Tribolium castaneum: one gene and its partner. The protein of the gene in region 1 binds, or shares a complex with, the protein of each later gene. Links are inferred from orthologs where the notes say so. Each region holds a gene or a part of one and is shown in the gene's direction. Other genes may lie near its edges. The genes, in order: Tif-IA and Polr2L.

Region 1 (4,578 bases):
ACGCGGAGCATGCCAAAGAGGAGGACGTTGATTATGCGTGGGAGGTGATCAAGGAGTTCGCTGTTGAAACGCTGGCGACGGGGGCCAAGGAGCGGCCGCCGCTCACGAGACAGAAGTCGAAGCGGTTCTCGTTCACCAGGAGCATTTCGAAGGAGATGTACCAGAGGACTTTGAGTCGGTCGAATTTGTGCGACGGGGCGACGCCCATTCTTGTGGCGGATTCGGATGAGGAGGACACGCTGGTTGAGGACACGACGATGCTGCCAGATGAGCCCGATGAGGTTTTTATTGACAAACAAGAGTTTGTTAATGGGTTTAGGATAAATGACAAAGAGATTAAGTACAATGGGGTTAGTTAAGAGTGTGATTGGGTGTGTAGATGTGTAGACACAACAGTATTATTTTAAGTAATAATCTTAAGTTATTTGTTCATTCACATATCATTAGACGTAAGGACGGTTGTGTACCAAGTGATCATTTGAATTCATTACAATTAGAGTACCTACTGAAACTGATATTGAAAGAATGGTTAAGACTTGAGTCTACCAACTATTCGGAGGAAACTCTCCTACTCTAATTACAAATGACGACATATAATACTCGCTCATTAGTATTAAGTAGCGTCCTTGTTGTTGTTAAAGAGTTTTTTTACTCATTTATAAAATGTAGACGTAATAAATTATGATATTAATTTGAAACTACCATTCAATTATTTTTCCTTTATAAATTCGTTCTTCAGAGTCTTTTTGACAATATTGGTTACACACAGCGCGTGCTGTTAACATTTAAACAGCACTTTTTTAAACAGGAAAGTACTAACCATCAAGGTTTTTTACATTGTTCCATAACTGCTGGAAAAGAGAAATCAGAGGTGATTATTTCTGTTGTTTTTTTCCCTTTCCCAAAGATCATCTGAGGCAAGTGCCCTCGATCCGGCTCTGCCCCTATATCATGTAAAGAATCTTATTCAAAAAAAAATTAATACCTGCTTAAGTATGCTGAGTTAAAAATAATCGAATTCTTTTAGTTTTCGAGAGTAAGTTTGTTCTTACAAAGTGGATTTGTTTTAATTGTGAATCCTGTGAAGATTTCACTAAAATGTTTGGCTGAAATTATTTGCTTAAGAGATGAACTTCTGTGGTTGTCGGGTTGGACCTTAAAAATGTGCCTCCTTGTGTTTTTCAGATCAAAAAAAACGTTAAATGACAAAAATCAATACATTAGACAAACCTCCTTGTTCCCATCTTGTAACAATAAGTTACCTCACAGATTATATTTTTTGTTGGTGTCGTACTTGTTGCCGTGTCGTTTAATTTTACTCACTTTATGACTTACTGTTTTGTGAAAGAATTTTTGCGGATTAAAAGTTCCAAATTCGTTGACTAGTGCGTGCTGATCGCGGTTAGTGTGTGCTATTGAAAGGGATTTTTAAGGGGAAAAGAGAAAACAACCCGGATTAAAGGGTTAGTTTTCAATAATTTATTTTTAGAAAAGTTTCTACATTAAAATCTATAATATTTTCAACGAATTTACTGGTACAATGTTCCAATTTCACTGTTTTTTATTTCAGTAGGTTCGTGAAATGCTTTTGAATAGGTGATATTAACATCTTGTACTGATTTTACTTTTAATTTATTTTAATAAATTAGCCCGGCTCAAAATTTAAATAGTAGCCTTGCCAACCAAGCAACTTCGAAAAGCCACAACAAATAACCCTAGACGCAGACGTCAAACCACACGTTTTTCTCCTAACCTGTAAAAGATGTGATTTAAATAACATTGTGAAATACTGTTTTTATTGATTGACTGTGACTGAACCGTTGCTTTAATTTATGTAAGTGCCATATTTATCATTTTTTCAGAAAAAACAAACAAATTTCAGATCATTATGTCTTTATTCTCGGCCCCCACGAAGTCAACGACCCCTTCCTCGATCCTGAAGAAAACCCCAAGTCTCAAATCGACATTAAACCGCTCCTTGAAAGTGAACACACCCACTAAAGTCCGATTTATTTTACCACACTCTAAAAAAGTGCGCCACATATTGAAGGACTACATCAAACACGGAAATGCAAAGGATTATGAAAATTTAGTGTGCCTAATTCGCGATGCCGAACTGTTTGATGACGATATTTCCTCACTGTTGAAGGAAGCGACTGAGTGTATTTCAATAATGAAGCAGGAGTTACGTCTTTTTGTAGAAGCACTCCTTTCAGTTGACTGGATCGAAAGAAACGAAAATGTAGTTAAGGAGTATCAGTCATTTATTGCGAACTTAGTCGCTGCACATAACTATCACGCAGATTTTGTGATAAATAAATTAGTCACATTGTTTTTTCCCCGTAAGTTTGGTAAAGTAACTAATCACCAGTTAATTACCAGTGAATTATTTAGCTCTAACAGACCCTGAATGGGAAAATGGAACCCCCAGTAAAACGGATATTCTGAAGTGCCAACACGTCCACTCCCTCCTCTGTGAACTTCTAAGAACAGTCCCTTTGTAAGTAATTTTTCAAGTCTCAGGTACTTTCCGGATGTAATTATCTAGAGTAATAAGCAATTTTCTCTATAAAATAGTTTATAAATTAAATCTGTGCTAATGGGCATTTCAGGTGCAACGAATTGCTAATCCACGCCCTGATCGACCACTTCCCTTACATGAACAAATCGACCCACATCCACGAATACTACATCCAGAACCTCCTCTGGGTCATCTGCTACCAGCCCACTCTCAGACCCAACATCCTCCACTTAATTTTCTCAAAACTGATCATCATGGACGTGAGTGCGCCCCGCGAGGAAATCGCGAAACTTGAAGAGGAGGAAATTTTCATGATGGACGAGAGCAAAACAAACACTACGATAAATCTGGACTGCGTCCATTCAATGGCACACACTTTGGACGTTTGCCTGGATAAAGTGTTCAATTACATTTACTCCGAGTGCCATGAGCCGGGCACTAATGACTTGAATTGGGGCAAAACCAAGTCTTTATACCAGGATATTTTGACGGTCTTTGATCAGTCGATCCTGCCAACTTACAATACTCATCACGTCCAGTTTGTTATGTTTGTGCTGTGTTCCTTTAAAACGACGTTAACGGAGGCGTTTTTTAATTACTTGTGGAAGAAGGTGTGCAATCCGAACGTCGCGTCGGTGATTAGACAAGCGGCGGTTAATTATATTGTCAGTTTTATAGCGAGAGCCACTTTCGTCCCCCTTACGTAAGATTTTTTCAATTTTTTATGCCCCAGTTTAATGGAAAATTGCAGCATGTTGAAGGGGACTTTGCAACAAATGGCCGAATGGATCCACTCGTATATCGCCACTCAGGACGGCCTAGAGTGCGTCAATTCGGACCTAAGGCTCCACTCTGTCTTCTACACAGTGTGTCAAGCCCTCTTTTATGTGATTTCGTTCCGGCACAAGGATTTAGTCAACACAAAAAAAAGTAATGATTTTTTTACTCGAACATTGTCACAACTTTGATTACAGATGTCGTATTTTTGGAGAGTCTGAACTTGGCGAAAATCGTAACCAGTCGGTTAAACCCGTTGCGGGTTTGCCAACCTGCAGTCGTGCAAAATTTCGCTGCTATTACCCGAAAGTACCAACTAGCCTATTGTTACTCAATCATTGAACACAATTCGAGGAACACTTTACCGACTGTTTATAGAGACGAGAAAGGTTTTGTGACAGTTTCAAGTAACGTCCTAGAGGCGTGTTACCCGTTTGATCCTTTTGTTTTATCAAGGTTCGTTGCACCGTTTTTTGGGGGATTCCCCTGACTGTTTTAATTGCAGGTCGAGTGCGAAAGTGCACCCGTTTTATCGGGACTACAAGGAGGTGAGTTTTGAGGTAAACGATTCAGAAATGAGGGAAATTGGGGACGTTGACGATTTCCTCGAGAATGACTTTAACTCAAAAACGCAGAAATTCTCATACGGGACTTCGCCAGGGTTTAAATTTAAGGGCTAATGTGATACTGATTTATGCAAGATGTTATTTATTAATTTGATAGGAAAATAAAGTTTCTCAAAATATGACCTATATTTTAATACCGTTATAAACATGAATATATTATAAATATAACAAAAAATCATAAATAGTTTTTCCACAAAGGAGGCACATTTATACAAATTTCTCTATTAAAAAGTAAACTCGTTATTTAGACTGACTTTCGAGTTCCTGTTCGACAAGTCGTCTGTACTCATCAAAACCTTCTATACTTCGCACAGAGCCATTACCACAAACCCACAACTCCTTGCACACTTTGCGAATAAGCCGCTCGTCGTGCGACACAAGTATCACACCGCCCTAGAAAAAATTAAGCACAAGGGAGGTAAAAAAATAAAAAAGTGTATGGTGGTAATGTGATCACCCAAAAGTGGTAAAAGCGTTAACTTACGGTGAATTTGACTATCGCATTCCCTAAAGCTTCAATTGTTTCGATATCTAAATGATTGGTGGGTTCGTCAAGTACGAGGAAATTTGGGTTACCCATGCACATTCGGGCAAAAGCGACTCGAGATTTTTGCCCCCCTGATAAACTGGCGACGGTTTGGAGGGCGAGGTCGC
Region 2 (2,461 bases), on another chromosome or scaffold:
TCCACAAATGAGTTATGACTGGCCAGGGCAGTACATTCACAGTAAAAATTTTTGGGTTGGTTACTGTGGATACTATACACTGTGGCACCATATATTCTTTTGGCCTAACTTTTTGCTCCGATTGTAAGGCCCCAACTACCTTAAAGTGATTCTCTCTACTGTAAGTAATTAACACTACACACGCAAAATTGTTAAATTAAAAAATTAAATTAAATATTGAATTACGAAAATTTCGTTACTGTTTTCGACATAGTTCAAAAGTCGTCACCAGAGGGCGTCTAGTTAATTTTATTTCCGAATACAACCAATCACTACGCACAGGAGTGAACAAACATTAACAAATCCTGGTTTAGACATTTAAGAAGTTGAGTTGCAACAAATGTGGCGGTTTCAGACGTCCAAACATGAAAAAAATGCAAATCATGGCACATTAAAGACTTGGAGAAAGGATGCGGCTTTTGATACATTTTAGTAAACACAAGTATGAATCACAATCCATGTTCTTACTCATTTGTCCCAGTAATAAACTAAAGAATCTGAGATAAAGTGTAACACTTACCGCTCTTTCACAATAAGCCCCCATCAGCTTCCTGAGAGGGGTGTGCTTTTTGATCTTGAACTGGACGACAGCATTATCTTGTCCCAGTACTTTCAAGTTGATATGTTCCGTTTCATTGCTCTGCAAAGTCCCAAAAACGTGAGTATCAGTTCAAAATTACGGGAAAAAAACCTCGTTTATGGTTAGGAAAGAAAAGTCATGTTTACCTTCTTTTCGTCACCCATATTTGGCAAATTTGGTTGTGGCTTGTAGGAGGGTCTGGGGCCGAAGTTGATGCACAAATGTAAACGGTTTTAGTGGAATTTGGTGCACTTTTAACCGTTTTATCAACAGACACGCAGCTTGCCGCTAACAAATAATGGCCGGCTTGCTTGCAAAGTAGCGGTAACTGCTCGCCGGAAGTGACTACGCGGTTAGTCAAAGTCGGCTTTAGCTGTTCAAACTTCACACTTCCGCTTGAAACATTTGTAGAAATTTACCACTTCACGTTGACAAAACGTGCTTGAAACAACGCGGTAAATTAATACAAAAAATTAGGCTTTGTTTTCAATATAACTTTCACATGTTTTCTGCGATTTTTTAATAATTTAATCAAGAAATTAATCCTTATTTGTTATTGCCGTCGACAGATGGCAGGCCACAAGCTTCAATTGATCAGGAGCACCAATATTCCAGAAGTGAAGAACCCAGAAATTCACGAAATTAGAAATCAAAAAGCTTCTAGAAAAGCGCAGTTAAAGCTTTTTGAAAGTAATCTAATTTAAAGTCTAAATACCAACGCAACAAATTTTGATTAAGCGAGAGTGTGAGGTACAGAATTTGGTTAATTTTTGATGTGTCAGTGAAAAATTAGGTTATATTTTTTCAGGTTTTGTCGAGACAAGATGATTATACCGGTTCGTTGTTTTACTTGTGGGAAAGTTATTGGAAATAAATGGGAGGCTTATCTTGGGCTTTTGCAAGCTGAATATACGGAAGGAGATGCTTTGGATGCTTTGGGTTTGAAGAGGTACTGTTGCAGAAGAATGCTTCTTGGACACGTCGATCTTATTGAAAAGTTATTGAATTATGCTCCTTTAGAGAAGTAATCTGTAGTAGTAAGTCTGTTAAGTAAGTGTAGGTGTAAGTTTAATTTTATGGCATGTAAAAAGGCGCGTTTTTGAATAAATTTTACTATTATGCCTTGTCTTTCATAAACCAGCATTTTTGCAACATCCTATTTAGTTTTTCCTACTTCACGAGTTCACGGTAACTTTTTTGTTTATTTTTATAAAGTTATTCAAAAAAATTGCATTATCTTTGTTAATTCAACCATGTCTAGAGGGTCAAGAAAGTGTCGATATGGTGATAAGGGATGTCCAGTAAAGTTTAGAAATGAAGTCAGATCTTTTCCCAAGCAACTTGATTTTTTTATCATTCTTGTATTTGTTTTCTTTAGCAACCATTTTAATTGTTGTTTTGTTTCCAGTGATTAATAATATTAATATGATTAATATTAAATTATTTATTGTATAATTTGCTAATTTAAGTGTTTGTAACACCATAAGACAATAATTGTTGGTGATTTTTTTAAAAGATACAGGGTGACTCAGGGGTGCGGTCTGTAACTTTTTTGTTACTTGAAATTTTGCCATGTTTTCGTTTTCATTATTCTATAGATAGACTTAAAGTCCACAAACTATCTTTTTTTTATTATACACAGGGTGTTGTATACATCCTGGTTTACTAGAGTTATATTTTTTGAAATGAAACACCCCATACATTTTCACATAATTATATTCTATGCAAAAAGTAATGTAACTTTAAATAAACTATTATGGGTTTATCTCTTTTCGTTTTAAAATTATTCAACTTCTCGTTATGAAAAAGACCATCTTTAGAAAAATCACTGCGAAGTCGCTT

Evidence for each region.
Region 2: Tif-IA (region 1) and Polr2L share a complex: the UniProt entries of both Homo sapiens proteins name them as parts of the pol I pre-initiation complex. The link is inferred for Tribolium castaneum from reciprocal best matches to the Homo sapiens genes RRN3 and POLR2L.

Annotation. Positions count from the first base shown.
Region 1 is NC_087395.1:22,076,016-22,080,593, forward strand, and holds Tif-IA (RNA polymerase I-specific transcription initiation factor RRN3), read left to right. Parts: upstream 1-1,675; 5' UTR 1,676-1,834; intron 1,835-1,882; 5' UTR 1,883-1,888; coding exon 1,889-2,342; intron 2,343-2,394; coding exon 2,395-2,500; intron 2,501-2,612; coding exon 2,613-3,224; intron 3,225-3,272; coding exon 3,273-3,451; intron 3,452-3,495; coding exon 3,496-3,754; intron 3,755-3,803; coding exon 3,804-3,978; 3' UTR 3,979-4,046; downstream 4,047-4,578. Other genes in the region: tyrosine decarboxylase, read left to right, coding at 1-359; ATP-binding cassette sub-family F member 3, read right to left, coding at 4,165-4,317, 4,409-4,578. UniProt on the Homo sapiens protein: Required for efficient transcription initiation by RNA polymerase I (Pol I). Required for the formation of the competent pre-initiation complex (PIC).
Region 2 is NC_087394.1:15,049,492-15,051,952, reverse strand, and holds Polr2L (RNA polymerase II subunit 10), read left to right. Parts: upstream 1-1,443; coding exon 1,444-1,647; downstream 1,648-2,461. Other genes in the region: Sumo (small ubiquitin-related modifier 3), read right to left, coding at 560-679, 766-783. UniProt on the Homo sapiens protein: DNA-dependent RNA polymerase catalyzes the transcription of DNA into RNA using the four ribonucleoside triphosphates as substrates.